4 linked regions of the Diceros bicornis minor genome follow. The protein of the gene in region 1 binds, or shares a complex with, the protein of each later gene. Links are inferred from orthologs where the notes say so. Each region holds a gene or a part of one and is shown on either strand. Other genes may lie near its edges. The genes, in order: F2, F2RL2, plasma serine protease inhibitor-like and F2R.

Region 1 (7,433 bases):
CATGTGATAGACACTGTGCCAGGTACTAAGGACACAACAATGAATAAGACAGTCACAGTCAATAAGACAGTCATAGGTCCCTGCCCTCATGGAGCTTATATTCGGTGGCTCCTCATGGCGAGCAGGATGATAAAATGAACAAGCTCCTTCTAATCCGTCCCTGGTCTATCTGTCCTGTTATCTTAGCTCCTCATGCCTCCTCCTCCTCCAGGCCCTTTGCACATGCTGTTTCCTTTGCCTGGAATGCTCTCCTGTTTATTCATCAGCACATTCTACAAATCCAGGTAAAACTCTACTTCTTCTGGGCAGCTGTCCCTGATCCTGCCAGCAAACTAAACGCCCCTCCTCCTGGCACTCTCTTGGCCCCTGGAACAGAACTTTGCCAGCCATCACTTTGATGTTTTGTCATTTTGTTTTCCTATGAGATTGTGAGCTCCTTGATTCTCTTAAACCCCCAGAACTTGACACAGTGCCTGGCACATAGCAGGGACTTAGTGAAATGTCTATTGAATAAGTTATTTAACAAGTGAAAGTATGGCCAGTGATCAACGAGTTGCCTGTAGTGGGGCCTGTTGTCATACTAAAGGTGTGTTCAGGACGCTGTGGAGGAGGGAGGGGGCTCCCTGAAGGCTCAGCAAGGTGGTGGCATTTGAACTAGTCCATGCAGGACAGGGAGGTTTTCAGTAAGTGGTGATGGTTGCTCAAGGGGATGATGACAAATTAAGCAAGGGCCAGGCAGTAGAAACATCTTGGCATGTTTAGAGAAATGTTGGCTATCAGAGTAGCTCAGGCTCTGTGTTCATGGTTGGTGCAACAGGAGGGAAGGCTAGAAGGGGAGGTTAAGGTTAGGCTGCCAAGTTCACCAGCCTAAGCAGCCTGTGCTTTATTCTGGGGGCAATGGGGAGCCACTCAAGGTTTTGGAGAACGAAAGTGATGTCATGGGAGCTCTGCCCTGGGGGCATGGGGAAGACTAACTGGCGTGGGCAGGAGCTCATGAGAATGAGGCCTTAATGTTAATTCATTATCCATTTACTTCTTCCTTCAACATTAATCATCTTAGTGACCAGCAGGTACAGAGCCAGGGGCAAAGACACAACCTCGACGGCAGGAACAGCAAGGCAAAGTCAGATGCTAGGGGCCACCGCTGCTGGGCCACAGCCCCTAACCGACCCCTACTCTGCTCTTCTCCCAGACTGCCCCTCTCATATCCTGGCCCCCACCCTCATGCCAGTTCCTCACCTTCCAGACACTCAACGAGATCTTCTCGAGGTATCCTCACCGACTCACAAGCTGGAAAAGACCCAGAAACACCTTTGGGATTGTGGTAGGGACAGGATGGGCTTGAGTAAAAGGAGGGTGGGACGACATTCAGAAACAGAGTAGGATAGATGGATGGAAGGAAGGAGGAAAAGAGATTGGGTGGATAGGTGAGTGATAGGACAGACCAGAAGATTCTCTAACTGGGGTCCCCAGGATTCCTGGAGCACACCCTTCCCAGGGCTCACCTGTGTACTTGGTCCAGAACGCATCCTGAAAAACAAGGGCTGGCATGAGGCTGTGGCAGGATCCCGTTTGGTTTTGTTGTTTAGTAAACTTTATGTCTCCTCCTTATTCTTCCCTCTTTTCCTTACCCCGGTCACGCAAGGGGCAGGCTCTGGGGACGTTTGTGGCACAGTTTCCTACTTTTGCTCCAAAAACCCAGCTCGTTCAGAAGAGTATTTGAAGGGGGGGGGGCTCCCTCAACCAAAACGGACAGGGATTCCCCTGGGTGCGGAAGACTGGCGGAGAGGGGAGTGTGGGGCCCAGGCAGAGCCCCGCGGAAGGGAAAGGCTGCACAGGGTCCGTGGAACGCTAAGGCCTTGGCCCAGGGCTCCCAGCCTACCACACGCCCACCTCCCACAGGCGGCACAGGAGTATCGGAAAAGCTGAGGCCGAGAGGCCAAGTGGGCCAGGGGCCCCAGGGACCCCAGTGTAGACAGATGTCTGAAGACTAAGGAGGCCCCGTGACGTCCTGGAGCCTCATTGGTCCCTGGGACCTTGACACAGCCCAGGCACTGGGTCCCCCCCAAGAAAGGCTGAGGTTGCTCATCTTGGCAGCCCAGTGAAATGGGGCTCAGAGACGAAATCAAGTTGTCAACAGTTTAGGAGCTGTGATGTTGGCTCCTCTCATCTGTGGCCCTAGAGGTGGGCCCACATCGGGGGAGCCCCGGCCTCCCTCCGAGCAGCCCAGCCTCACCGTGGCGCTGGAGGACTCCAGGGCCTCTGAGGCCTCCTCGCGGCTGCACTGCTCCTCTATGCACTCCCGCTCCAGGTTGCCCTTGCGCACCTCCTCCAGGAAGCCACTGTTGGCGCGTCGGACCCGCTGGAGCAGCGACAGTGCTTGCTGAGGGGCCAGGAACACTGCAGTAGGAGGGGTGTGGGACAGCGGCCTCAGGGGGTCAGGCCATCTTGGCCACCGTGGGGGCAGGAAGCAAGCCTGGCCTGCCCTGCTGGCTTCTGAAAGGGGATGTCTAGGATGGCAGCAGGACTCAGGAAGCTGCTAAGGGTAGCCCACTAGCTCCCCTCCATTCACTGGTCACCCCCAGCCCACTCCCCAATTGTAAGAGAGAAGCAGTCACTGTCTGTCCGGCCCTGAGCACCCGGCTCCTTCCCTAAGCTAGATACCTTGGGCTGACCCATCTAGGGGCCGGCCCTGTGTTCTCCACGGGTGGAATCCTGGTCTGTCAGTCTGTGCGGGATTCCGAGCCCCCTTACCATGCTGGCTGTGCACAAGGCTAAACAGGGCAGCCACAGCCAGGCAGCCAGGTAGCCACAGGCCTCGGACGTGCGCCATAGTGTGTGGGCTGCTGGGACTCTGAGAGTTCGTCCTGACCCCTCTGGGTTAATGTTGAACTAACATGAAGAAATCAGCCTAGAGGCAGAGGTCAGCAGGTCAGGGCCGTGGGGACAAGTGGATAGATAGTCCACCCCCACCATCTGGGGGTACAGGTCCTCCTGCGACCAGGGATGGATGGTCTGGGAGGAAGTCACAAAGGAAAATCAGTGTAACTACTATCGTCCTGCCCCTCCTTCCCTAAGACATGGGTCAACTTGGACCAGTTCCTGAGGCCCCTTCCAATTCCAACACATGATGATGGTTGCTTTAATCTCTGTGTGCCTCAGTTTCCTCATCGGTACAGTGGGAATAGTACTTTGCTATGAGGACTAGAGGAGATTAGGAATGTAAGCCCATGAAACACAGTGAGGGCTTAATAATCAGAAGATACACGGATATAAACCAACCGGGAGGTTCGTGTAATCATAACACATAGATAGAAGAGAATAGAGACAAGGGCATCGCCAGATTAGAGCTGCCCACCTTGCCCCATGACACACTGGGGGCAGGGACGGCCAACATTTACCCCAGCCTCTCAGCCCCTGACGGAGGGTCCCATTTCCCCTCTTTCCCATCTGGGAAGCTGTGGAGGTGTGTTTGTGTGTAGTGTTCCCCGGGAGGAGGAACCAGGTCCAGGGCTTCCTGGGCCTCTGGTCATCCCAGGACTGCTGCCCTCCCCAGAACAGGGGCAGCCCAAATCCCGGGGTCTCCGCGGCAGGGACCCCCTTTCCCTGCACCCGTCTGCCCTGGGCCGGGCCTAGAGAGGCTGCTGTCTTACACTGCCCTCGGCCAGCCCTGCTCCCGTCCCTCCTCCACTTCCTGTTTACAGGACGCAAGGTAAATATTAGTCCTAGTCTAGTTAGGACAGAGGGACAAAGAACAGGAACACAGGGAGCTCAGGCTCTTGCCTCGCCATCCTTTAGGCCTGGCCGTTCGGCATCTGGACTGCGGTCGTGTACAGTCTGAGATCGCAGGGAGGGGCCTGGTGCAGAGCAGGGAAGAGAGAAGGCTGGCAGAGAACGGGGGACCAAGAATCAGCTTAATTCCTGGGTGGCCCAGTTCCTATACTTACATATATTTATATTTATATTACATATTCCTATTTTTCTATATATATATTTTTTAAATTGAGGTTTAATTTATATACAATAATGTTAAAACAAATCCTAAGTGTTTAACTCAAATTTTTATGCATACACCCATGTAACCACCACCAGATCACGAGAGAGAACATTTCCAGCCCCAATAGGCCCTAGGATAACCGCTATGCTAACTATAGATAGTTTTGCCTACTTCTGAACTTCATATAAATGGAAACCTACGGCATATACCTGTTTGTGTCTGGCTTCTCTCGCTCAGCATGTTCCTGAGATTCATCCATGTTATGTTCCTTTGAAGCTGCATAGTATCTCACGGCATGAATAGAGCACATTTTCTTTATCCATCCACCTGTTGATGGGCATTTGGATTAGTTTCCAGTTTGGGCTATAATGAGTAATGTTGCTATGAATATTCGTGCACAAGTCTCTGGGTGTAGATGAGCACTTATTTCTGTTGGGTTACACGCCCAGGATTTGCTGGGTCATAAGGCAGGCATGTTTTGCTGAAGTCGCTGAGACAGTTGTCCCAAGTGGCTGTACTAGTTTACGCTCCCACCAGCCATGTTGGAGAGTCCCGGTTGCTCACGTCCCCCCCAGCCCTCTATATCGTCCATCCATTTCACATCAACCATCCTGATGGATGTGCAGGTGTGTCTCACTGAGGTTTTAATTTGTATTCCCTGTTGACTAATGACACTGAGCCTACTCTTTTTTGGGGAGGGAAGGAAGTGGAATGGTACAAAGATCTCACCTCACTAATTTCTTAAAAAGTTACATCTTGAGTAAGGGAAGGGGGTAGGGCTCCTGAAAAGGGGAGAGAAGAGAGGTGTGGCTTCATCCTTCCTGCCTCGAGGCAGGTGACCCTCCCTTTCCTGGGGACCAGGTTGGGCCAGTGCTGACTCAACCTGGAAAGGGAGAAGAGGTGAGAGGGGGTGTCAGCAGGGGGAGAGATCACCTAACACACGGCACCTCTTCTACTGAGGAACAAGGGGCCTGCTGACTGCTCCCTGTTCCCCCGCTGTCAGGACCCCCCAGTCATGACAGACAAGCACCACGCGCAGACATGGCTGTTAACGAGCAAGTCTTGGGCTATGTCTTCCTCAAGCTGTTTGCAGACAATGTTCCAAAGCAGAAAACTTCAGTTCTCTGAACACAGAGAGGACGAGATTTGGTTATACGGGTTCCTGCTTTCCCAGACTTACTCCTGGATTTATGTGTCAGGTGATGAATTTACACACCACAATAGTACTGCCAGGGGGAGAACTTTGCTGATGAGAAATTCATTTTGAATATGGTCCTGACATCTTGTCCACGGCAAATGCTGGAGCCAACCCAAATGGCCCCCAGTTTGTCATCCACACGGTTAAGACTGACGGGCTGGATGGCAAGCACTGGCTCTCTGGCAAGGAGAGAGATGGCATGAATATTGTGGAAGCCACGGGGCATGCTGGGTCCAGGAATGGCAAGACCAGTCAGAAGACTCTGGGCCCTTCTGACGAACTTGCTCTTGTGTTTATCTTATACCCAACCACTCCTTTTGCCCCTGAGGAGAGCGCCCCCAGCTCTCACACCCTGTAACCTCTGTGTTCTCTCCTGCTGCAGTTCTTGTATTTCATATATCTCGTCTCCCTTCAGGTCTAGTTGGATTCAGAGTTAAGTTTATCGTTGTGAAACAAAAACGAAACTACCCTCAGAACATACTATAATGTTCGTCAAGTATCACAATGCCTGCCACACAGTAAGCACTCAGTAAACAGCAGTTATATGCTATTTTGCAACAGGCAACACACAATGCTGCCTATAAAGAGTTTTTCCTAAAATGATGAATCTGGATCTAATCAACCTCTAACTTTATTTATTTTGGTGAGGAAGAGTGGCCCTGAGCTAACATCTGTTGCCAATCTTCCTCTTTTTGCCTGAGGAAGACTGTCGCTGAACTAACAGCTGTGCCAATCTTCTTCTATTTTGTATGTGGGACGTCACCACAGCATGGCTTGATGAGCGGTGTGTAGGTCCGTGCCCGGGATCTGAACCTGTGAACCCCAGGCCATGGAAGTGGAGCGCACGAACTTAACCACTATGCCACTGGGCCGGCCTCTCAGCCTCTAACTTTAATTACTAGTCTGCAGGAAATACAGATGATAAAGGAATAAGTTAGACACCACAAGGAATGAGCAACATTTTTCAGGACAAATGACCCCAGTTTCTCTGACAAATTCATGACATAGAATAAAAGGGGTGGGTGGGAAAGACTGTCCAGAATAATAGAAACCTAAGAGAGACCTAACAACCAAATGCACCAGGGAAACAGAATTACCATGATTGGTTTAGACTTTCGAAGAAATCAATTGTAAAAAGACTCTTTTTGGACAAGCAAGAAAATTTAAATATAGATTAGGTTCTCATTCAAATGAAAGAATTATTGTTCATTTGATAAGTATTATATGACACATGGTTATATTTTTTATATAAGTTATAGTTTTATATAACTTATGAGTTATAGATTATACTGAAGAACTTACAACAAACATGAAACAAGCACGGCAAAATGCTAACAATCATTAAATCTAGGTGGCTAGGGGATTGTTATATTATCCCTTTTAATTTTTTGTGTTTGAAAAATTTCACAATGAAAAGTAAACTTAATTCCTTAATAAATGGAGGCTAGCAGTAAGTGGATTCTAGTTAGACAGCCTTCACACGTTCTTGGGTGAACAGAAGACCACATCCACCCTCTCTACTTTGCAGAGAGCAGTGCTGCCCACCTGCGGAATGCAGCCTTGTGCTCGGAGAGACGTGGAGATGGGAGTGCACATACGAGTCCTTTCCCACGCAGTTTCTAGGACGGCTGTGAGAGTCCACAGGGATTCACAAGTTCTCTTCAAGTAGTGAATGTTTCACGATGATCTAGGGAGAGCAGAGATCTAGGGAGAGCATCCCCTTTGTGAGTGGCTCTGGAAGGATCCAAAAGTTCTGCCAGACCAGGGTGGCACCACCACGGGTACAGAAATCCAATGGACCCAGCACACCCCTAGTCTTCAGGGTCCACCAGAAGAGCCCCAGCCTCCAAGAACTGTTCTCCTTGGAACTCTCTGGGCCCAGTGAGTATCATGCAGCTGAGCCTGTCATTCCTGCTTCTCACCACAAACACGTACCTGCACACTTAAAGCAGATCATATTTGCCTCTAAGAACAAGGCCATATTGAGGGGTTGCATTTCTGCCCAACAAGCTGGCATCAAACAAAATCGTGGGCAAGACCAATGCTACGCTGTAAAGCGAAGCTCTATAATCACTGAAAACAGTAAAATTATCTTCTAAGCGAGAATTTCAGAAGTGGAAGCAAGATCAAATATTGTTAAATCTGGACACTTCAAAGCCTGGGGCTCTGTGCATGTACTACAGGGTGGTCTTACCTTTTTGCATATTAAAAAAAACCTCAAAAATTGTAAATTTACCA
Region 2 (5,693 bases), on another chromosome or scaffold:
CGTGCTCCCCGATTTTACACATTTGATGACATCTGGGAAGCGGGACCCAGGTCATCAAGATGAAAGCCCTCATCCTGGCAGCTGCTGGAGTGATGCTTCTGTCACTCACTCACTGTCAAAGCGGTAAGCTCTTTTCATACGGGGTGGGGTGGGGTGGGGTGGGGGTGCTGGTTTGTATTACAAGAGTCAACTGAATCTAATTTCCTTGGCATCTCACACAAACTGCAACCCAAAGACAGCGTTTGATCTTAGTTATTAAAAGGCGGCATCACAGAAGCGAACAGCGTAACTTGGTTCACTTGGCTCAAACCTCTTCAAAGACTGTGTCCTCTGCTTACATTTAAGAATGTGTGGCACAGCCAAGGTTTTAGATCTCTACAATTAAGGATCAGTTTTCTTTGTGAGAAGTTTTTGATTTTCTAAGTATTTCCTCTGATTCAGCAAAGATAGCACTTTTGCAAGAGATTAAAAAAAATCTTGTTTATACCTTCTGGTGAGGTACAAATGGGGGAAACAAGAATACTCCCAGAAAGACTGAGTGGTCTGCTCTCAGTAATCAGCGACACTAATAAATTAATGCTTCTTAACGAAATACCTTTTTTGACTTTCAGTGGTACCAGGGAGTTCTCCCCACCCTCATATATGATTTTTTAATTTTATAAACGAAATCTCCCAAATACTATTATTCAACTCTTAATGTGTTTTCTCTTTCACTCAACACGATGTTAGCCTGTAATCTCCTGCTTGCTTCCAAATTAATAAACTTCCGATAGATCTGTATCCACAATGCTTTCACCATTAGGTCACAGTCCAGGCCACACTGTCAGGAGCAGGAGAGCCGGTGAGGGGCAACAACAAGGGGGAAATAAAATGAAACAAAAATCAAACTGCGGTAAAGGGATGCTGCTTACATTGACAGTTGGAATGGCCGAGGCGGGTGTAGGAGAGTGGGAGCACACATGCGGGTTACGAATCAGATAACTGAGCACTCTATCTAGGAATGGATGAACCCAAATGCAGCAGAGTAATGAAAGAAAAGAGGTTTGTGGAGGTGGTTCCTTCAAGATGCTGATGGGATTTGGCGGAAGTGAAGAGTGGAATTTAAAGGCGACAAAGTAAAAGGCAGTGCATTTGCTTTCTTGGATGGGATGGGGGAGAAACGTGAGGGAAGGACCCATTGTCTAGAGGCTGACGTCCGTTTCCATTGGATCAGCCCCTCTCCAAGGCCTTGAAACATTTCAGAAACATTATGCCAAATGGAAACCTGTATAAAGAATTCAAATAAATTTTTTTTTAAATTTAAATTTAACAATGAGTACTATTCTTAAGGAAAACCAGTCTCTAAGGAATAAAAGACTTATTCAAGCTGAACCAGATCCAGAATTCTCATGGAAAATGGAATTAAGACTTTTTCACAAACAAAGTCACTGTTTGGCATGTTTTTAGGCATGATGCCTTGCTCAATCAGAGGAATTTTCTGAAAACTGACAAACACTTGGTTTCAACAGCTCTCTTATCAGATCCGGAAGGGAAGTAACTTGTGCAGCATGTTCTTCAGCCACCCTTTCCAGCTTTCGCCTTTCGGTAAAGGCACTTCTTCGGGCTGTTGTCAGATGCAGGAATTTCCAAAATGCACAAGTGAGCAGAAGGATTTGTGTGGCTGAACTCAAGTGTCACACACACGCCTTCACGGTTCACATCTAAACACAGGCACAGAAGAACGCCACTTCCCAGATTTTTCTTTCCTTCTCTTTAATTTATCTGCTCTTAAATGACACCTGAGCACCCCCCGTCCCTGCTTGTTCGGGCAACACCCTCCCTCTGTTTTAGACACTGAATACAGTTTGTGCAATCTCATGGCTATGAGGAGGTTTCAATTTCACCTGGGAGCGAGCTGCTAGAGAAGAAAGCAGGAAGAGAGACTGGCTTTGAACGAGAAGCAGGTTACTAAAGTCTTAGTACTTTAACTAACACGTAGGAATGCTGACGTCACGCGAGAAGACGTAACTGGCAGAGCAATGGCATTTGAAGTTGATAAGTATGAGGCGCACATTCAACCTAAAAATCCATCTTCAGGTAACTTTAGAAACTTAAGAGAACCTACTTTCTATATATGTCAAAGATTAATTTATGGAAAAATATATAATGAGAAAGAGATTTGAGTATTAAGGGTTATTCTGTTTTTGAAGTTTTCTTTCAAGAATTAGGATCATTAACATCAACATGCCAAGTAATGCCAAATACATATAGTATGTAGTTGCTGAGTTTGTTTTTTTATTTCCAAGTTCCTAAAAATCATCATATTGATTTCATCTTCTCATTTTTCTTCCTTTGTCTCCTCTCCCCTTAAAATCTGACATTTCCCCTAAAGTCTGCCTTTCGATTCTTTCTTCTTCTCTCTCCCCAGGCCACCCCCACCACTTGCACTAAATTAAACTACAGCCTCTCTGCACACTGAAACATCCCACCTCTCATCTGGGCTCCTGGAATTTTGGACTCAATGCCTAAGGCTTCTAACCTGTCACGGGACATTTAACACACCAATATCCCACCAGCAACTCAAATTTAGTTAATGCTAACAACCGAGGTCTTAGCTTCTCCCTGTGCTGCCCCTTGTCCCACCCCCCTGCAAGTCATCTAGACTAGAAACCTCCAAGGCACTTTTAGCTCCTCCCTCTCCCTCTCTGCTGCCATCACCAATCAGATGCCAGCCCCTTGGAGCCTCCATCACAGAGTCTCATGTGTGCATCGTCACCTTTCCACTGCCGTCGCTCTACTTCGGCAACTCTCCATCTTGAGTGGCCCCCAAATCAGGCCCCCTTGCCTCTAATTTCTTACCTTTTCAGTCTATTCTCTACACTCTCACCAAAGTCATCTTAAACACAAGTCAAGTCACGGTTATATTAGTTTCCTATTGCCACTGTAACCAATTACCACAAACAGTGGCTTAAAACAACACCGATTTATTATCTTACATTTCTGGAGGTTACAAGTAGTAAAATCAAGGTGTCAGCAGGGCTGTGTTCATTCTGGGGGCTCTAGGGAAGAATCAGTTTTCTTGCTTTTTTCCGCTTCTAGAAATGCTTACATTCCTTGGTTCATGGCTCCTTCTCTCATCTTCAAAGCCAGCAGCATAGCATCTTCAAGTATCTCTGACTTGGACTCTCTTGCCTCCCTCTTATAAGAAATCTTGTGATTATATTCAGCCCAGTCAGCCCATCCAGGATATCCATCCCATCTCAAGGTCCTTAATCAATCTGCAAAGTCCCTTTTGCCATACAAAGTAACATAGTCACAGGTTCCAGGCATTAGCAGATGGAATCTTTGGGGGGCCATCATGCTGTCTACCACAACGCCATCCCTCTGTTCACAAATTTGCATGTGTAGAACCCCAGCATCCATGAATGGGCACCTGATTTCTCAGTGCAGTTTAGAGGCCCTTCAGAGATTTGACTGTAACCTACTCTTTCAAATTCATCTCCTATGATGAATGCGCCTTATTAGCATAAGACAATGTGTTGTTGTGCATCTTCTCCACCAGCCTGAGAGTTGAAGACAGGGATGGAGTTTATTTAAAACTATATACCACTGGCATATATGTATGCAACAAACATTTGTTGAACTAACTTATCTGACATTCCCAGATTTCACGCCAGCCCACACTATGCCTTTGCTAATATATCACCAACAGAATCTCATTCATCGATTAAATTCTATCTCTTTATGAACTTTGCTCATGTTTGCTCATGTTTATCTTTTCCTTGACATTTTGCTCAAACATCTAAATCTGTTAACTATCGTCTGAACGCCTATACAGCTTGTAATCAATATGACATTAGCGTATAGTGGTCTGATGTGCTATTTTTGTTTCCTCCAACAGTATTATAAACCTGCTACATGTAAGGAGTTGTCACGTAGTTTTTATATACTAAATGCATTCCTGTTGATTACCTGATCTATAACAACTTTTCAAAATAAAAATGACCCTAAATTCTACAACTACAGAAATTAACGTAGCATAAGACCTTTAGTTTTATTGTCTCCTGAACCACAGATATGGCTCAGCAACAAACCATATATTAATACTTCTTTTCAATTACAGGCATGGAAAATGATGCAGACAACTTGGCAAAGCCAATCTTACCTATTAAGACCTACCGCGGAGCTCCCCCAAATTATTTTGAAGAGTTTCCCCTTTCTGCCATAGAAGGCTGGACAGGAACCACCACAACTGTAAAAATTAAGTGCCCCGAAGAAAGTGTTTCAAATCTCCACGTGAATAACGCTACCATAGGGTACCTGAGCAGCTCCTTAAGTACCAAACTGATACCTGCCATCTACATCCTGGTGTTTGTAGTAGGTGTGCCAGCCAATGCGGTGACCCTGTGGATGCTCTTCTTCAGGACTAGGTCCGTCTGTATGACTATCTTCTACACCAACCTGGCCGTTGCAGATTTCCTCTTTTGTGTCACACTGCCCTTTAAGATAGCTTACCATCTCAATGGGAACAACTGGGTATTTGGAGCGGTCATGTGCCAGGCCACCACAGTCATCTTCTATGGCAACATGTACTGCTCCATTCTGCTCCTTGCCTGTATCAGCATCAGCCGCTACCTAGCCATTGTCCACCCTTTCACTTATCGGGGACTGCCCAAGCGCACCTACGCCTTGCTAACGTGTGGACTGGTGTGGGCAACGGTTTTCTTATACATGCTGCCATTTTTCATCTTAAAGCAGGAGTATTATCTTGTCCATCCAGATATCACCACCTGCCATGATGTCCACAATACATGTGAATCCTCAGCTCCCTTCCAACTCTACTATTTCATCTCCTTGGCATTCTTTGGATTCTTAATTCCATTTGTGGTCATTATCTACTGCTACACAGCCATCATTCGGACACTTAATGCATATGATCATAGATGGTTGTGGTATGTCAAGACGAGTCTCCTCATTCTTATGATTTTTACCATTTGCTTTGCTCCAAGTAATGTTATACTTATTATTCACCACACTAACTACTACTACAACAACATCGATGGCTTATACTTGATCTATCTCATAGCTTTGTGCCTTGGTAGCCTGAATAGTTGCCTAGATCCATTCCTATATTTTCTCATGTCAAAAATCACAGATCATTCCACTGTTTACCTTACAATGGTGAAATTATCTTAGAGAATAAGGAAAGCTATCCGTAAAAACATACATTCTTGGGATAACATGCATAATAAGTGCAAGGAGTTCTATTCTCCAGCTCCATTTTTGAGTGCCTAAGAAATAGTGGTTCAAAATAAAACATTACAATAGCACTAGTTTTTTTACACACTTTATCAGTATTTTAAGAATGTCAATGCAGAAGAAAAGATATCATCACTTTCCTTATAGCAACTGACACATTCGCCTGACTGGTACTTCAAGCTCTTTAAAAGTCCATCTTCCCTACTTCTCTGAGGTTTCTACTCTAGATGACTTGAAGGGAAGGGTGGGATAAGGGACAAAGTCACAGCATGGGGAGAAGCTAAGATCTCATTTTTCAGTATCTGGTGTCATTTTTGATTCTTCTCTTCGTCCGAATCTCACTCTGGTGGCTGCCTCATCAGCTGATTCTATCTCTGTAAGTCTCTCACCAGGGTCCGTTGTCCTAGGCCCACCATTGCGTTCCAATCATTCTCTTCACTGCCAGCTTGTCCTCC
Region 3 (7,517 bases), on another chromosome or scaffold:
CTGTGTTGGAGGAATTGAAAAAAGGAGTGTGCTCAGAGGACACACCTGATTGAGGGCGGAGCAGGTCAGGATGAGGCTGGTGAGAGCCAGACAGAGCCAGACCACATGGAGCCTCGGTTATCGCACAAATCAGTTAGATTTTATCTCAAAGGAATGAGCGGAATCACGTTCTTAGGAAGGGGAGCACCATGACCATGTTTGTGTATCACAGAGATTCTTCCAGACGCTGGATGTAAAATGGTTCTCAGGGGCAGGAGGAGCAATGGGGTGGTCCAGGAGAAAGACAGAAGGGGCTTCCATCAGGATGGTGGCAGGGAAAATGGGGAGAGGCAGGCAGATTGAAGACATATTTTAGAGCTGGAAACCAACAAGTCCCGCCGATGGTCTGGAGATGGGAAGGGAGGTTAAGAAAGTTTCGTAGGTCACTGATCCCAGGAAGCTCTGCCCCCAACGTCTTTAGGATCTGGGGAAGTTGTGGTTTTTGTCTTTTCCTCTCTGCCTGGGCCCCTAGACTGACATCTCCTCTTGTAATGAGCAGAGAGTGGACAGACCCTCCTCAGCTGTGCGCCTCTCACAACTGAGTCCAAAGTCGACCCGCTGGGACTCTGTTGCTTAATGTTTAGAATAAACGTCAGCAGATTTTGGGTCTGTGGATGTTGAGGATCAGTGGGAGGGCTGCCCAGGGCCTGCCCACCTCCTGCCTCCTCAGGTCTCTTTGCCCTGGGGTGCCAGATGGGCTTGATAGATCTGCTCTCTTCCCTCTGACATGTGGGGGCATCTCTGCAGAAACACCCCAGGAGAGGGTCAGCCAGGCCAGGCTCTGCCACCACGCAGTGGGGCTGGTCTCCTAAGTGCCTGAAGCAGACTCACGCCGGCTCAAAGTTGGCACAAAACTCTGTCAAATCTGTGTGTGTCCACCAGAGGCCCAGGAGTGTGCTGGCAAAGCCTGAGCTTTGAAACTAGGAAACCTGAAATGAGCACCCCAAGGCCTCCACTTTCTCAGAAGTGACGTCTCTGACTCTCTGTTTCCTCTTCTGTACAGTTATGATAACGATACCAACTCCATGTTGCTGTGGAGGAGTGTAAACGAGCTAATACAGGTGACCAGCCTGGGAGAGACCCAGGGATATGTAGCAGGAGCTACAGGGGAGGAGGAACAAGGTCATTCCTCAGGGCCGTAAAAGGGACCAAAGAGGCAGCACTACATCAGTCCGAGGAATCTGGATTTTAATCCTGCTTCCATCACTCACTGGCTAGGACAAGCTATTCCGTTTTACTAAGCCTCAGTTTATTCAGCTGTAAAACGGACTGAACCTTGAGAGTTGCCTTCCTGGAGGCCTGCTTGCTTTCGGTAAAGCTGAAATGTAGTAATATTTATAGAATGTATAATAGGTCCTTAATAAATAGTAATGAGAGAGAGAGAGTGAGCCCAAATGGAGCAAGACTTCTTGGTCCCCAGCCTGCAGCCCAGGGGACCCTGAGTGAAGCTGCAGCTCTCTCCAAGGAGACCCTGCTATCCTGGAGACTCAGTGGCACTTGGAGAAGTGGCTCTGGCCTGTCAGATCTCTGGGGTTCAAGGGGGTGGGGACAGTGGCAGGGGGGAAGGTTACTGGACAGAACATGTGACAGACCTCCAGTTGTTTGTGAAGAAACAGAGGCCTGAGAGGGGAAGGGCCTGCCCCAAGGTCACCAGGAGGGCTGCATGGATGGGAGGCTGGGAGCCAGAACCCTCCCTCCTGCACCCCAGTCAGCTGCCTCTGGGCTCCGTCCACACAGGAAACTCCCTCTGCCTCTGTAGCTGTTCTTTGAAAGGGTTCCTTTTAAGGGAATTATCTGATGGTGCTAACACTTTGGGGGAGGGACCACAGTGTGCTGTAAAACAGACTAGTTGAAAGGACATAGAGAGTCCCCCACCCACCCACGTCCTTGAAAGACCTCCAGGAAGGCAACTCTCAAGGTGGGAACAAAAAGGGAGTTTTTGTTCAAAAAACAAAAAGCATGGGAAGCCAGACAGGGTTTCTTCATTATCTGCAGGTTAAGGGCTATGAGTGGCAGCTGCTGAGGCAGGGAATACAAGATTGGGAGGCCGAGACCCAGAAGAGCAAGACTAGGGATCTGGGGAAACTGATGGTACAGCGGTTTAGAGTGTGGGCATTGAGGGCAGAACCGGGTCTGAGCCCAAGCTTCGCCACTATTAGCATGTGACTCGACCTCTCTGAGCCTCAGATTACTCATCTGTGAAATGGAGCTAGTAATAGAACCTGCCTCCGTCGGGGGGCGTGAGGCTAAAGGAGTTGATATGTGTCAAGACAGCACAGCACCTCCCAGCGGGCGCCGGCGATGCGCCTGGGCCTCCCACGGGCACGGTGATTGCTGAGGCTGCTGTATTCAGTGCTGGGTAGCCAGAGGTTCTGCAGACAGAACATTCTAAAGGAGCCTCCTTTGTGAGCTCAGGTGCAGTTTGGAGGCCAGGGGCGGTGAGTGCGACCTGCTCGAGTCCCTCGATTTCGCTCACAGGCAGGATTGCAGCCCAGGTCCCCTGACTCCCAAGCTCATTGGCATGTCATGTCCCTCCCTCCCTCCCCCACCATGGGCCACTCTGCAAGCAATGTACAATGCAGCTGTTTGCAGCCCTTTGGAGTTTGGTTTTGCCTGGGTCACGTGACTCCGTGGCCGTGCTCACGCTGGGGCTGGGAGACCTGATGACATTGTGTCCATGGGGGAGAACGCTCAGCTGGAGGGGAAGATCTGAGCAAGAGCTTTCATCAGAACTCAGGCCATCGGCAGCCTTGGAGTTAGTTACCCGGCCAACACTGGGCTCCCATGAGAACGAGTGTGTGAAAGCACGTACCCCACTGTACGGCTGAGGAAATGGGGTGCTCAAATGGGGGGACAAGTGGGCCCTGGCCAGACACTGCCACACCGACAGCTCCTGCTTCCACAGCACCAGGTCTGCACCAGGCGCCGTTCCAAGCACTTTACCTACATTGACTCCTTAAAGTCTCCACTCCCCCCTCACCCCCAGTGCAGGCACTGTGTTACCTCCGTTGAACAGGTAGGGGACAGAGGACGGGGTGTAACTGACTTGCCCCAAATCACACTTGGAGTGAGTAGCAGGGCCGAGATTTGAACCCAGGCGGCTGGGCTGCAGTCTGGGCTAGTCACAGCGGGTGGAAGGAGGTCTTTGGGAGGCCTGGGTGCAGGAAAGGTTTCCGGTTGGAGAGGAGGGGTCTGGGTAGATGGACATGAGGGAGGAAGAGGAGGAGGGACTGAAGGTGGAGGACGAGGCCGGAATGATGGAAGACCCCACCTGAGAGATGTAGAGAGAAAGAAGGCGAGGGCTCTTGTCTGGGGGAGGGAAAGGAGAGATGTCTTAGCGCACTCGGGCCGCTGTGACAGAGCACCACTGTCCAGGGGCTCAAGCAACAGACATTTATCGCCTCTCCCTTCTGGAGGCTGGAAGTCTGAGATGAAGGTGTCAGCAGGGCTCGTTTCTTCTGAGACCTCCCTCCTTGGCTTGCAGATGGCCACCTTCTCCTCCCTGTGTCCTCACACGTCTTCCCTCTGTGTCTGCCTGTGCCCTGATCTCCTCTTCTTATAAGGACACCAGTCGTATTGGCTTAGGGCCCATCCATATGACCTCATTTTAGCCTAACTACCTCTTTAAAGACCCTATTTCCAGATATAGTCACATTCCAAGGTACTGGGGTTAGGGCTTCAACATTTGAATTGGGGACACAATTCAGCCCATCACAGAAGAGGAGAGAAGTGGAGGTGCACACGTTAAGAGGGCAGAATTTCCTCAGGAAGAGAAGGTGCCTCTGATGAGGGACAACGGTGGCCTTGCAGGGTCCTGGAGCCGTCCCTGGGAGAAGGAGAAGGGACCGTCTCTCAGGAGCCTAGCACCCTGCCTGCCTTGTAGCAGATGCTCAATATATATTTGCTGAGTGAACAAGGGCAAATCCAGCAGTGCTGGGGGTCCACAGCGGGTAGTTGGTCTGAGTTCTCAGAAAGCCCACCAGGCCTTGCCAAATGCTGCACTTGAGGACCAAAGCGAGGGTTAGAGCCACACGTGGAAGCAGGCTGCTAATCCAGTAACCACAGAGATGCTGACCAGGCAGAACATGGAGAACCTCCCAGCTCCATGTCCCATCCCCTGTCACGTGTACCTTGATGTGGGTGAGAGGGGAGGATTCTTGCCCTGGTGGCCAGTCCCTGCCTTGGATCTGCTCCCCTCTGCCTTCTCCTTCCTCTCCCCACCGTTAGATATCCATGTCCCCAAACCTCATCCTGCAGCCCCTTCTGCCCTCCTTAAGCCCTCACTCCCAGCTTCACTGGTCGTCTTTTCCCTCTGATGCTGCATTTTGAGCCGTGAAATCTCTCTGGAACATCGGTCTTACACGCTTCCTCCTGATCTTCTCTCTGGGCAGACACGCTGGCCCCACACCCTCTCTGAGCACATCTTCCCACTCTCCATTTCAGAACAAGGGGCCGCCACAATGCAGCTCAACCTCCTCTTGTGCCTGGTGCTCCTCAGCCCGCTGGTGGCCACCCTCCACCGCCACCGCTCCCGTGAGACAAAGAAGAGAGGCAAGGAGCTGCCACCTGTAGTTACCACGGTGGCCCCCCACACCGGAGACTTTGCCTTCGACCTCTACAGGGCCTTGGCTGCAGCTGCCCCCAACCAGAACATCTTCTTCTCTCCTCTGAGCATCTCCATGACGCTGGCCATGATCTCCCTTGGGGCTCGGTCCAACACAAAGGCACAGATCCTGCAGGGCCTGGGTCTCAACCTCCAGGGGGGCCCGGAGGAAGAGCTCCACAGTGCATTCCAGCAGTTGCTACAGGAGCTCAGCCGGCCCAAAGAAGGCCTCCAGCTGAGCCTTGGCAATGCCCTCTTCATCAACCCCACGGTGCACATCCAGGACACCTTCCTGAATGCCATGAGGACACTGTACCTGGCAGACACTATCCCCACGAACTTTGGGGACCCCGTAGGGGCCCAGAAGCAGATCAATGATTACGTGGCAAAGGAAACTAAAGGCAAGATTGCAGACTTGGTTAAGGACCTGGACAGCACTGAGATTATGGTTATGGTGAATTACATTTTCTTTAAAGGTAAGACCCTTGGGCTCGAGCCTGAACTTCCTCTCTCCTTCCAACTGCTTTTGTCAAAAGAATACCCAATTCTCGCACACATGGAGGAGGAGGAGTAAATTCAGTCCTTTCTGGTGCCTGTTGATAACAGTGAGGCCAACAATCAGCCGTGATAAGACGGCGCCTTCTCACTGGGTAAGGAGATGCTTATGACCCCAGGGTTGCTGTTTCCTCCACTGGGGAAGGGCTGAGTCCTGTCTTCGGGACCCTGGGGACACCTGAAGCCACAGCATCCACTCAGGTTCTGAAGCATGAGTTCCTCATGGCCAAGGTGCCAAAGAAACCAACACCACAGCTACTCAGGCCAGGACTGTCGGCCTTCGATGGGCTTTCAAGGGCATTTCTCAGCTGCTCCCCTGGGCCTCAGACCCTCTCCCCCATACCCTCCTAGGGGCTGTTTCCTAGGCCGAGAAATCCAGGGATGAGAGCCTGTTCCTCTGAATAGCCTCCTCTCCCCTCCTCAAGAACCCATCTCCATCTTTATCTCCCTGGGGTTTCATGTAAATATCTCTACTCATCTCCAGCTCCCAAGTCAACTTCTCCTTCTAGATGCTGAACCCCTCAGCGCCCTGTGTGGGGTCTGGCTGAGGATGGGAAGAAGAGGAAAGCAGAGTGGATGAAGAGAGGAGGAGAGGAGAGGGAAGGGGAGGGGAGGGGATGAACAGGGAGAGGGGGTGGGGAAAAGGGGATGAAAGGGGAAGGAGGCAGCGAGAGAGGAGAGAGGAGGTGATGGAAGGGGAGATGGGAGGGGGGCAAGGAAGGGGGAGGGGATGGAAGGGGATGAAAGGGGGAGGAGAGAGGGAGAAGGGAAGGGATGGAAGGGGAGGGAGAAGGAGGGGAGGGGAGAGGAGGGGAAGGTAGAGGAGGGGAGGGGGAGGGGGAGGGACAGGGGCAGGAGGGGGAGGGGGGAAGGAGAGAGAAAGAGGAAGGAAGGAGGAAAATAGTGAAATTGTTAGCCACCTCCCCCACTTCCTGGTCACAGATGGTGAATATCAAGCTTGGATTCTAAGATTTCCTGTCCCATAGCCCAGGGCTCTCTCCATTACACCAGGCTGCAGAGGACAGCTGTGAAATCAGCTAAGTGAGGTATTGGGAGGGGGTCCATATTTGATAGCTATTAAGAAGATGGAAACAATTACTTGTATCGCTTTGATCAAAAAGTCCCGTAGGAAGCAGACAGAGCAGGAAGTGTAACTGAAGACTTCCTAGCAAGAAAAATCATGTATTTCCAGGAACCTTACAAAGCTCTCCTCCAAACCTAGACCAAATCCAATGTTGGGAAAAGAGTGAAAAACAGAGTAAGTCACCCAGATACAGTGTAGCTTTGTCAGCCATCCGTATTTTTATCCTCTTTACTTGGATATTTGACCTCAAGTAACATCAGAGCCTCAAACAAACATTAGAGGTTAAGGGCCTCTAAAAACTTGAAAACCAGCCTTCTTGTTTTGCAAATGTGGATGGAAAAGCCCCGTAAACAGTTCCAGTGTGCCCCAAAGTTATAAGGGGCTTGCCTTCCTGGTCACAGTGTTCTCCAGTCACTGCCAGCAGCCAGACTGCTCCAAAGAGGATGATCTCTGCTTAATAGGTTTACTGTCTCCACACTTGTCATTTGCAGCTGAGAAGTTCTCATTTCTTTTCCATTTTAATCTTCAGCTAAGTGGGAGACAAGCTTTGACCACAAAAGCACCCAAGAGCAGGACTTCCATGTGACCTCGGAGATGGTGGTGCGGGTGCCCATGATGAGACACGAGGAGCAGTATTACTACCTCCTGGATCGAAACCTCTCCTGCAGGGTGGTGGGGATCCCCTACCAAGGGAATGCCACAGCCTTGTTCATTCTCCCCAGCGAGGGCAGGATGGGGCAGGTGGAGAACGGACTGAACAAGAAAATCCTGAGGAAGTGGCTCAAGATGTTCATAAAGAGGTATTCTTCAGACTACCCCGGGGCCAGCCTAACCCTACACACCCCCAGAGAGACACATGTCTCCCTAGGGCCACACAGCAGTGGTGGGAAGGACTCATCCAGCCCAGGAGCTGCCTCCAAGCCCAGAGGCATCATGTGAAGTCCCAGACCCCAGGCCTGGCCCTGCTGGACGGAGCAGGGCTGGAAGACATGACCAAGTTTCCTGGTGGTGCCATCAGAATGGGCAGTGACCTCTGGGGACAGCGTAGGTCCAAGTCCAGGGTAGGATGGGCTCCACTCTAGGCAAGGGGCTGGAGGATCATTATGAAGCCAAGGAGAGATAGAAGGAATATGAGCTCAGTGTGCCGATGCTCTAGAAGAGTCTAAGAAAGGCCCTCCTCTCTTTCCAGGCAGTTAGAGCTTTACCTTCCAAAGTTCTCCATTGAGGGCTCCTATC
Region 4 (7,952 bases), on another chromosome or scaffold:
AAAACGAGGAGAGTGGGAAGACAAGGAACCCAGGGTGCTGGCGACCCCACTGTCTCGGCGGAACTCCGGCTCAGGGCTCAGCTGAGATCCAGTTTGTGAGGGTGACAAGGACAAAGGTGAATTGACTGGGGTAGGAGGAAGGGGGTAGAAAGGGCACAGGGAAGATGGCGGCCAGCACTTCGGAAAAGGAGCACGTTCAGAGCTGCTGAGACAATGCAAGTTAGGATTCATAGTACACTGATCCCTTCAGACACAGGGGCCAAGAAACGCTGAATCAGACAGACGAGGGGAGGGGTGGAAAGGCAACCAGCAGAGACGACAAGAGAATATTCCTGAGAAAGGCCGAGAATGCCCCCCCAAATGTCCTCACACACAGATTAGGAGATAAAAATAGAGCCAAAGCCACTAAGGAATGAATGGGAGAGAGAGAGAGAGAAGAAAGAAAGAAAGGGAGGGATGGAGGAGGAATGAGATAGATATTGGAATAGAAAATTACTTGCTGGTTCATAAGAAATTTGACTTGCAGAGGTTTCTGGTTGGCTTCAAGCAGAATGATTGCCTGGTTTTGTGCCTTTTGTTTGGGCTTAAGACCACCGTCTCTCAGTAACAGCCACTTAATTAGCATATTCAAGACAGGGATCTATTTATGGCCAGCCTCACTGGTCTGTTTTCAAAAGTAAATGGCAGGATACCACGATCCATGCATAAATGTTTACTGAACACCTCCATGTGCTAGGCCTGGGCTACGGAGCCAGCGGGGCACAGACTCTGCCTTCTAGGGGTACCAGAGAGCACAGAGGGGCTGCGGGACTGGATGGCTTCCTCTCGACAGGGGGAGGTAGAGAAAGCTCGCACTTAGGAAAGACAGGCCTGTGGTCAAATCCCAGCTCCACTTCTAACCAGACTTGTGACTTAACCATGCCGGGACTCGGTTTCCTTACCTGTAGAATGGGGATGACACCTGCTCAAAGGGTTGTTATGAGGAATAAATAAGGTGGGATATGTAATGTACCTAAGCAGGGGGTTGTCGGTAGTAGGTTCTTGATATAAGTGACTGTTTTTAGTTAAATGTGAAAACGTGGGGCGTGGGGAAGACATTCAGGCCAGAGGGAGTGGGAGGGGGGAGGACAAAAGCCAGAGAAAGCATAGCTCCCTGGGGGAGGACCTAGAGGGTGGGGTTGGGTGAAGTACAGGTAATGCAATAGGTTATGTAATAGGAGAGGATCTGTAATAAGAGAGGCTGGTCAGAGGGTGGGGACTCATTCCATGCTAAAGAACTGGGCTTGAGCCTGTGGGCAGGAGGGCAGCATGTGGAATCTCCCACCCAGTCCCCTCTGCCACATCACCATGGGCTATTCTTGAACCCTTTCATCCTCCAGATTCTTACAAAATTTATAAACATCACCTTCTGGTCACTGGCCCTCTGACGAAGGCAAGTGATCTCACTTAAATGGCCTGGAAAAGGAACGTAAACTGGTTAATGAACTTACCAACGTCTCAGTAAACATCTGCTGAGTGAACATCTGTTCTAGACTCCATGTTTCCCCCTACACCCCAGAGACGATGCTCACGTTATCCACAGGCAGGCCGGCTAGTTGCTGCAAAACTGTGGGCCCCTATCTGGGGCTCTTCATTTTCCCAAAAGCGTCACCTCAAAACTCACCCTGAGCCAAGATGGAGAGCAGAGAAAATGCTGTCTTTGTCACCTCCTAATCTTGATGCATCTATACCGCTTCCAGTGTGAAAACAAGATAGAGTTCACAATGTTTCACAGATAGTAAGAAAACCGGCTAGAATCTGTTTCTGCACAAAAAAATGTGGCTAAAAGCTTATAAAGTACTATCATTACAAAGAAATTAAAATTTTTTTCTAACTTTATAGGCTAAAAACAGCTTCTCTGCCCTGCTTTTGGGGGGGGGGGGCATGTTGGAGAATACGTTTATTTGGTCAGGTAGCCAGATACTGGAAACTACACTGTCAGTGGGACACAGACTCCAGGCGACCTACCTCCTCCTGCAGCAGATGCGAAACTGAAATCCTGAAATCCCATAGGGTCGGAGGGAGCCGGGTCCTGGGGAGGGGATCTCTTTCTCAACTCACTAGGAAGACTGGGTGCTAGATAAACAAACGAAACCTCCCAACAACCGCCCGCGCCCGGTGGCTCTCCTGTTATCACGCTCTGTCCCGCCCCGCGAGCCCCTCGCGTGCACAAGGCCCGTGCCCGGGGCTGCGGGTACTGATTCTCCACCAAACGTGCCCAGGGACTGGCTGGGCTTTTCTCTACACACTCTCCTCGCCTGTACAATGCGCCAGGAAAACAATTCCAACAAAACAAAACTTCACCGGGAGCGGTTCTCCAGTCCATATTGAAAAGACCGGAACGTTTATCGGCGGAGCAAAGTAGACCCTTTCTTCTTGGGGTGGTCCTGGGAGAACCAGGCCACACAGCGGCAACAAATGCAACGAGGAATGCAGGCTTCCCCAGGCTCCTCCGTATCCAACACCCTGTGGCAGGCCGGCTGCATCCTCCAAAACCGAGCGCCGAGGGGCCTCGGCTAAGCCGCGAAGGGGGCGGGTGGGAGGGGCACGCCCACCTGGATACGACTGGGGAGACTCGGGTCTCAGCCCAAACGCCTGTGTGGCTCCTGGAGGAAACTGAGGCAGAGGGGGCAGTCAGGGGCACCCCCAGCGACGAGAAGGCGCAACCTGCATCCACTCAGCGCCCCGCAGCGTCCCTCCTCCTCCCGCCGCCCCATCCCGGGGCGCCCCGGCTGGGAGCGAAGCCCGGGGCAGTCTCACCTGGCCTGCGGCCCCGGGTGCCGGCCGACAGCAGGGGGCCGCACAGACTCAGGCCCGCGGCCACGAGCAGCAGCCGCCGCGGCCCCATTGTCCGAGGCTCGGCGCGCTCGGCGCGGCGCTGCTCCCGAGACTGTGCCGCCGCCGGGAGCGCGGGCCCGGGCTCCCTCCTGCTCCCGCGGGGCCAGCCGGCGGGGCGGGCAGGGCGCTCGCCGCACGCAGGAAGGTGGCTGGCGGGTCTGGCTGCGCTCCGCCGGGCGCCGCGCGCGGGGCTGGGCGCGGGGCCGGGCGCGGGCGGGGCGCCGGCGGGCGGGAGGGGCGGGGCGCCGGCGGCGCGGGCCGGGAAGGGCGCCCCCGGCGCCGAGTGTGCGCCTTGCGGCCCGCCGCCCCCTCCCCGCAGCCCCCTCTCCCCTGGTCCCGCCCCGCCGCTCGGATGCCCCGGGCCTCGGCCACTTGGCACCCCCTGCCGCGCGGTGCGCCGCCGCTCCGCCCTGGCTGCCGGCCCCTGTCCGGCGGGGGAAGCCGAACGAGACATTCTTCCTCTGGGCGCCCTGGACGAAGCTCGCAGTGACTCAGGCTGGCGGGGCTTTGGAACAGGGCTGGGCGGCCCGGGCGGCTGCTCCCTCGACCTCTCCGTATCCTCCCGGGAGCACAGACGGTAGCGGTGACCGTCTGATCAGGGTGCGCCCGGGCGCCCGCGCCTGGCCCCCGGCCGAGACCTCCCTGCCCCGGCGGCCCATTTGGAAATTCGGGATTTAGCTAAAAGTTTGAAAGTGACTTGTGTCTCTGCAACTAGGGAGAGTGGATTAAAAAGTTTATACTGTAGTGACAAGGTTGCCCCCTAATGAGAAGGGGTCCTACATTTGGACAGAATTCTAGACATTTCTTATTCGTTTCTCTTTATTTCGCCAAGTTAGACATTTCGTCCGTCGGACACTCGCTATTTTACCGACACGCTGCCTGTGAGTGGGACGAACGACCCGCCTCCCAAGAGCAGCTTCTCCGCCCCCCGCTCGGGCGCGGCTGTCCCTTTTCCCCTCTGACAATAGCTCCCAGCCGAGGGCCGTGGGAATCACCCGCGGCCTTTCGCGGGAGACGGGCCGGCTGGGCTGTCCCTGTGCCCGGGCTGCGACAGGGGTGCCCGGAGGGCGGGGGGCCCTGGTGACTCTTAGGGGCCCTCACACTCTCTCGGACGGTAGTGCGTGAGTTTAACAGTATTTGGCCAAATTCAAGTCACAGGGCGGGGGACACCGAGCTGCTCGCTGGGGGCCCCTACAGGACGTCGCGCCCGGGGCTGGGCCAGGAGGAGCACGCAGCCTGTCCTGCTTGCAGAGCGTATCTGGTGGCCGCGTCCTTTAGACCACAAAGGAAGTGGGTCCGCTCAACCGGCCGTTTCCGGGAAAGTGTACCGCAGCCCCTCTCCCCACAGATGTGCGGGCGTGTTCTGCGCCCTGCGGCTGATAAACTTCGGTGGAGAGTTACTGGTCCAGGGCTCTCAGCTTTTTAAAAAGGGAATTTCGCATGGAGATTGGCACTGACACTTAAACCGGCGGAGAAAATACAGCAGACTATCTCGTTCTTCCCTGCATTCCGTCATCCTCAGGGCTCAGGCCTTTTCGTTTATAGAAGTTTCTCAATAAATTACTGACTAACCCAATTATATAACGCTATTTAAAAATTTTCTCTATTCATTTCTCCAAGGAAAACATAGCCAAGAGTAACGTGAACCACTACAATTATATATTTCTCCACTCGCTATTAACTTATACTATTTTTCATCAATCCTAAACACCATTGATTTTGACTCATCATTTTAATTTATGTACCACAAGCAAGGAAAAAATACTGCCAATTAAACTGTGACATACTACTGATTGTAAGAAACATCTCAGTTTCAGAGTTGTTTAAACATGAAAGGGCATCTTAGAATCAATGAAATACGGTGTAAAATATAAAAGTAATCAATACACATGGCAAGAAATTCTAATAGTTCAAGGATATAAAGTGAAAAGTAAAAGTCTCTTCAGCCTCCCCTTCTAAGAACCATGTCTCCATGGCGGCTGCAGTTAAAAGTTTCTGTCTGCCTCCGCTGTTCAAGAAGTTGTATCCACATACAAGTATTCATGTATGTGTATACTTAAAATAAGAATGGAATAATACTATGACTGCTTTTAAGTTGTAACTATTACATTGGTGGAAAATGTTTTTAACCATTTTACAAAACTGTAGAATTTAAAAGGATGCTTTTTTTTGCTTACTTATTAGAACAGAATGTACCTCTGGTGACAAAAAGAGAGCCACTGGAACAAAAGCTTAAATTCTTTGTGCCTGTTAAGTAGAGGAAAGTATCCCTTTGAGTATGCTTTATCTAGGCTGAAATACAGTGAACAAGGTGGGAGAGTGGAACACAGTGAGGTATTTCTTTCTCACTTTAGTGTTTTCTAAAGATTGTGGGTTGCTAATTGAGCGGCCACCAAAAGTTAAACCTACCTTCAGAACCAGTGGTTTTAACTTTTGTCACACACAAGTGCAGATGCCCAGACCCCCCTCCCAGACCTGGGAAATCAAATTCTACATTTTGCCCCCCAGGCAATGGTGATGTCTGAGGGTTCCCAGAACAAAGTTTAGAGAAACATTATTCTAAGACAGTGGTTCTCAAACTTTAGCATGGATCAGAATCATCTGGAAGACACAGTGCTGGGCCCCATCTCCAGAGTTTCTGATTCAGTAGGTCTGGAGTGTGGTCTGAAAATCTGCATTTTTAGCAAGTTCCCAGGTGATGCACGGGCTGAAGCTGCTCTGTGTGTGTGTGTGTGTGTGTGTGTGTGTGTGTGTGTGTGTGAGAGAGAGAGAGAGAGAGAGAGAGAGACAGACACACTTTGAAAACTACTGCTTTGAGAGAGAAAAAGAACTGAACAGGATTTCATATAGTTTGTGAGACTTTCTTTAAATTACACAATATTTCAAGCATAGAGAAGTACAGAGCCTAATATCACACCCGTGGGCCTACAATGAGGCGTGAACATATACATGTAAATACATACACGTCTTACAGTGGTGAAGCTTTTCTGGTACCCTTTTCTGATTCTAGTCTTTTTTTTTTTTTTTTTAGTGAGGATGATTAGCCCTGAGCTAACATCCAATGCCAATCCTCCTCTTTTTGCTGAGGAGATTGGCCCTGGGCTAACATCCGTGCCCATCTTCCTCTACTTTACATGGGACGCTGCCACAGCATGGCTTGATAAGCGGTGCATTGATGCGTGCCGGGGATCTGAACCTGCGAACCTTCAGGCTGCCGAAGCAGAGAGCATGCACTTAACTGCTACGCCACTGGGCCGGCCCCTGATTCTACTCTTTTTCCTGCCCAGAAAAGGAACTTTCTCATCCATGTTTTTATACTTTTAGTACATCTGTGTTTCCAAAAAAAATTAGTTTTGATTTGAATGTTTTAAATATTTACACAGAGTAACATACTCTAGGAATACTTGCTCAGTTTGCATTTTTCTAGATTTACTTGATTGATACGTGTCTAATTCTTTCTTTTTAAACTCGTCATAGTATTCTCTTGTATGTATATACTGAATTTTATTCTTCTAAAGCTATCTGTTTTATCTGCAGTTTTGTCCCCACTTTTATGCCTAAAATAGCATATTTTTGCTTTTTTTTCTTGATGAATCGGGCCAGAGGTTGGAAATAACCATTTTCCAATGCCCATCTTTTTTTTGTTGTTGGTTTTATTGTTTATTTTCAATGTCATTAATTTTCACATAGACTTTTTTTCCCTTTCTTTGGATTTACTCTTTATTCTCCTAACCTTTTGAACTGATTGCTTAGCTTGTTAATTTTCATTCCTTCTCCTCAAATCACCACTTCAGCTGCATTTTGCAAGTTTTGATATGTACATATATGCAATTCAGGGCTAAATATTTTGTCAGTTTCATTATATCTGCTCCATCTCATCAGTTGTTAGAAGTTTTGACTGGCTTTTTGTGATTGATTTCTCATTTTGTGTTATGGTCTGTTGGCGATGTTCTCTTGTCTGTTTTTTCCTCACACTCTACAAAGTTCCTATACCACTTGTGTGCTCTTTAGAGCTTCTTGAAAAAGATATGAATCTCTCTGCTTCATTTGTTCCATGTCACCTGTACCAAAACTCCTTGACTGGCAGTTTTAGAGCAAATGTGTGTAGGTTTCCCAGAGTAGAAAATCTTCCTAACCAGAGAGGGCTACCTAACAGGTCGATATTCCTCAGAAATGATGCCTCAACATTGCAGCATCATTCATGCTGGGACCAGTTGATACTGGTTCCCAGTTTTTATTTTCTCTGTTTGAACTTGCCTGGCACCAAATAGTATGAGTCATTAGCTATCCTCTCACAGTGTTTGTGGTATTTAGTAGTGCTTTATAAAAACGTGACATCAAAATGGTGCACATTTTAATCCCAAAATGATATGAAAGCAGTTTCTCTTAAGTCCATTAGGTGATCTACCTGTTTCGGGCATTCAGGTTGCCACTCCTCTTGGGAAGCCCTCCAAGACAACCGTGTATCCCAGGAACTAGCTCAGGAATTCCCTTTTGGAAGCTAACGGTGGTGATACCAGGGCTCACACGGAAGGAAAGCAAATTGTATTCAAGTTAGGAGTGAGATACTCCAGATTCTGTGCAGACACCTCCACATCTGTTTTTCAAGAGAACAAGTCTGTAATCAAGTTACAAGCTAATCAGCAGGAAGCCTGTTTCTGCCTTTTGCTTTTTGTTGTTTCAAATCAGCACTGGTATTTTGGGTTTAGAAGTAAAGTTAATCTCTCATAATGGGTCAACAAATGTATTTCCACTAATTATACCATGGATAGAATGGTAGACTCTCCCTATGCTTGAGGTACTAACAAAGTGTCAAATTCAATATCTGTTAAAAAGAAAACAACAATAAAAACTGTTGTTGCAGTTATATAAGGTGAACTCAATATCTTTTACTTCTGGTCATCTCCCTTCTGTATTAGTCACGGTTCTCCAGGAAAACAGAACCAACAGGACATATTATAGATATAGATACAAGGGGAGATTTATTGTAGGAATTGGCTCATGAGGTTATGGGGGCTGAGAAGTCCCATAATCTATTGTCTGTAAACTGGAGAACCAGGAAGGCTAGTGGTCTA

The links.
Region 2: the proteins of F2 (region 1) and F2RL2 are in contact, whole or in part, in a crystal structure (PDB 2PUX), measured with the Mus musculus proteins. The link is inferred for Diceros bicornis minor from reciprocal best matches to the Homo sapiens genes F2 and F2RL2. Residues at the interface, in NP_034298.1 of Mus musculus: Phe379, Gln384, Glu385, Leu386, Leu420, Arg422, Arg428, Thr429, Arg430, Tyr431, Arg433, Lys437, Ile438, Ser439, Met440, Lys467, Pro470; in NP_034300.3 of Mus musculus: Thr46, Phe47, Glu48, Glu49, Phe50, Pro51, Asp54, Ile55, Glu56.
Region 3: the proteins of F2 (region 1) and plasma serine protease inhibitor-like are in contact, whole or in part, in a crystal structure (PDB 3B9F), measured with the Homo sapiens proteins. The link is inferred for Diceros bicornis minor from reciprocal best matches to the Homo sapiens genes F2 and SERPINA5. Residues at the interface, in NP_000497.1 of Homo sapiens: Arg383, Pro386, Glu388, Leu389, Leu390, Cys391, His406, Cys407, Tyr410, Pro412, Trp413, Asp414, Lys415, Trp455, Glu457, Asn458, Leu459, Asn506, Arg541, Ile542, Asp562, Ala563, Cys564, Glu565, Gly566, Asp567, Val588, Ser589, Trp590, Gly591; in NP_000615.3 of Homo sapiens: Gln241, Lys295, Lys296, Arg297, Thr368, Ile369, Phe370, Thr371, Phe372, Arg373, Ser374, Ala375, Arg376, Leu377, Asn378.
Region 4: the proteins of F2 (region 1) and F2R are in contact, whole or in part, in a crystal structure (PDB 3LU9), measured with the Homo sapiens proteins. The link is inferred for Diceros bicornis minor from reciprocal best matches to the Homo sapiens genes F2 and F2R. Residues at the interface, in NP_000497.1 of Homo sapiens: Phe382, Arg383, Pro386, Gln387, Glu388, Leu389, Leu390, Cys391, His406, Cys407, Tyr410, Trp413, Lys415, Leu423, Arg425, Arg431, Thr432, Arg433, Tyr434, Ile441, Met443, Glu457, Asn458, Leu459, Asn506, Thr510, Lys517, Gly518, Gln519, Arg541; in NP_001983.2 of Homo sapiens: Ala33, Thr34, Asn35, Thr37, Leu38, Asp39, Pro40, Arg41, Ser42, Phe43, Leu44, Leu45, Arg46, Asn47, Pro48, Asp50, Lys51, Tyr52, Glu53, Pro54, Phe55, Trp56.

The regions. Positions count from the first base shown.
Region 1 is NC_080770.1:23,574,922-23,582,354, forward strand, and holds the start of F2 (prothrombin), read right to left. Parts: upstream 3,001-7,433; 5' UTR 2,834-3,000; coding exon 2,755-2,833; intron 2,401-2,754; coding exon 2,237-2,400; intron 1,531-2,236; coding exon 1,506-1,530; intron 1,291-1,505; coding exon 1,240-1,290; intron 1-1,239. UniProt on the Homo sapiens protein: Thrombin, which cleaves bonds after Arg and Lys, converts fibrinogen to fibrin and activates factors V, VII, VIII, XIII, and, in complex with thrombomodulin, protein C. Functions in blood homeostasis, inflammation and wound healing.
Region 2 is NC_080740.1:5,827,858-5,833,550, reverse strand, and holds F2RL2 (proteinase-activated receptor 3), read left to right. Parts: upstream 1-4,104; coding exon 4,105-5,175; 3' UTR 5,176-5,184; downstream 5,185-5,693. UniProt on the Homo sapiens protein: Receptor for activated thrombin coupled to G proteins that stimulate phosphoinositide hydrolysis.
Region 3 is NC_080763.1:40,251,544-40,259,060, forward strand, and holds the start of plasma serine protease inhibitor-like, read left to right. Parts: upstream 1-4,499; coding exon 4,500-5,118; intron 5,119-6,810; coding exon 6,811-7,081; intron 7,082-7,470; coding exon 7,471-7,517. UniProt on the Homo sapiens protein: Heparin-dependent serine protease inhibitor acting in body fluids and secretions. Inactivates serine proteases by binding irreversibly to their serine activation site. Involved in the regulation of intravascular and extravascular proteolytic activities.
Region 4 is NC_080740.1:5,907,013-5,914,964, reverse strand, and holds the start of F2R (proteinase-activated receptor 1), read right to left. Parts: upstream 3,022-7,952; 5' UTR 2,888-3,021; coding exon 2,800-2,887; intron 2,616-2,799; exon of another isoform or gene 2,595-2,615; intron 2,498-2,594; exon of another isoform or gene 2,366-2,497; coding exon of another isoform or gene 2,344-2,365; intron 1-2,343. UniProt on the Homo sapiens protein: High affinity receptor that binds the activated thrombin, leading to calcium release from intracellular stores.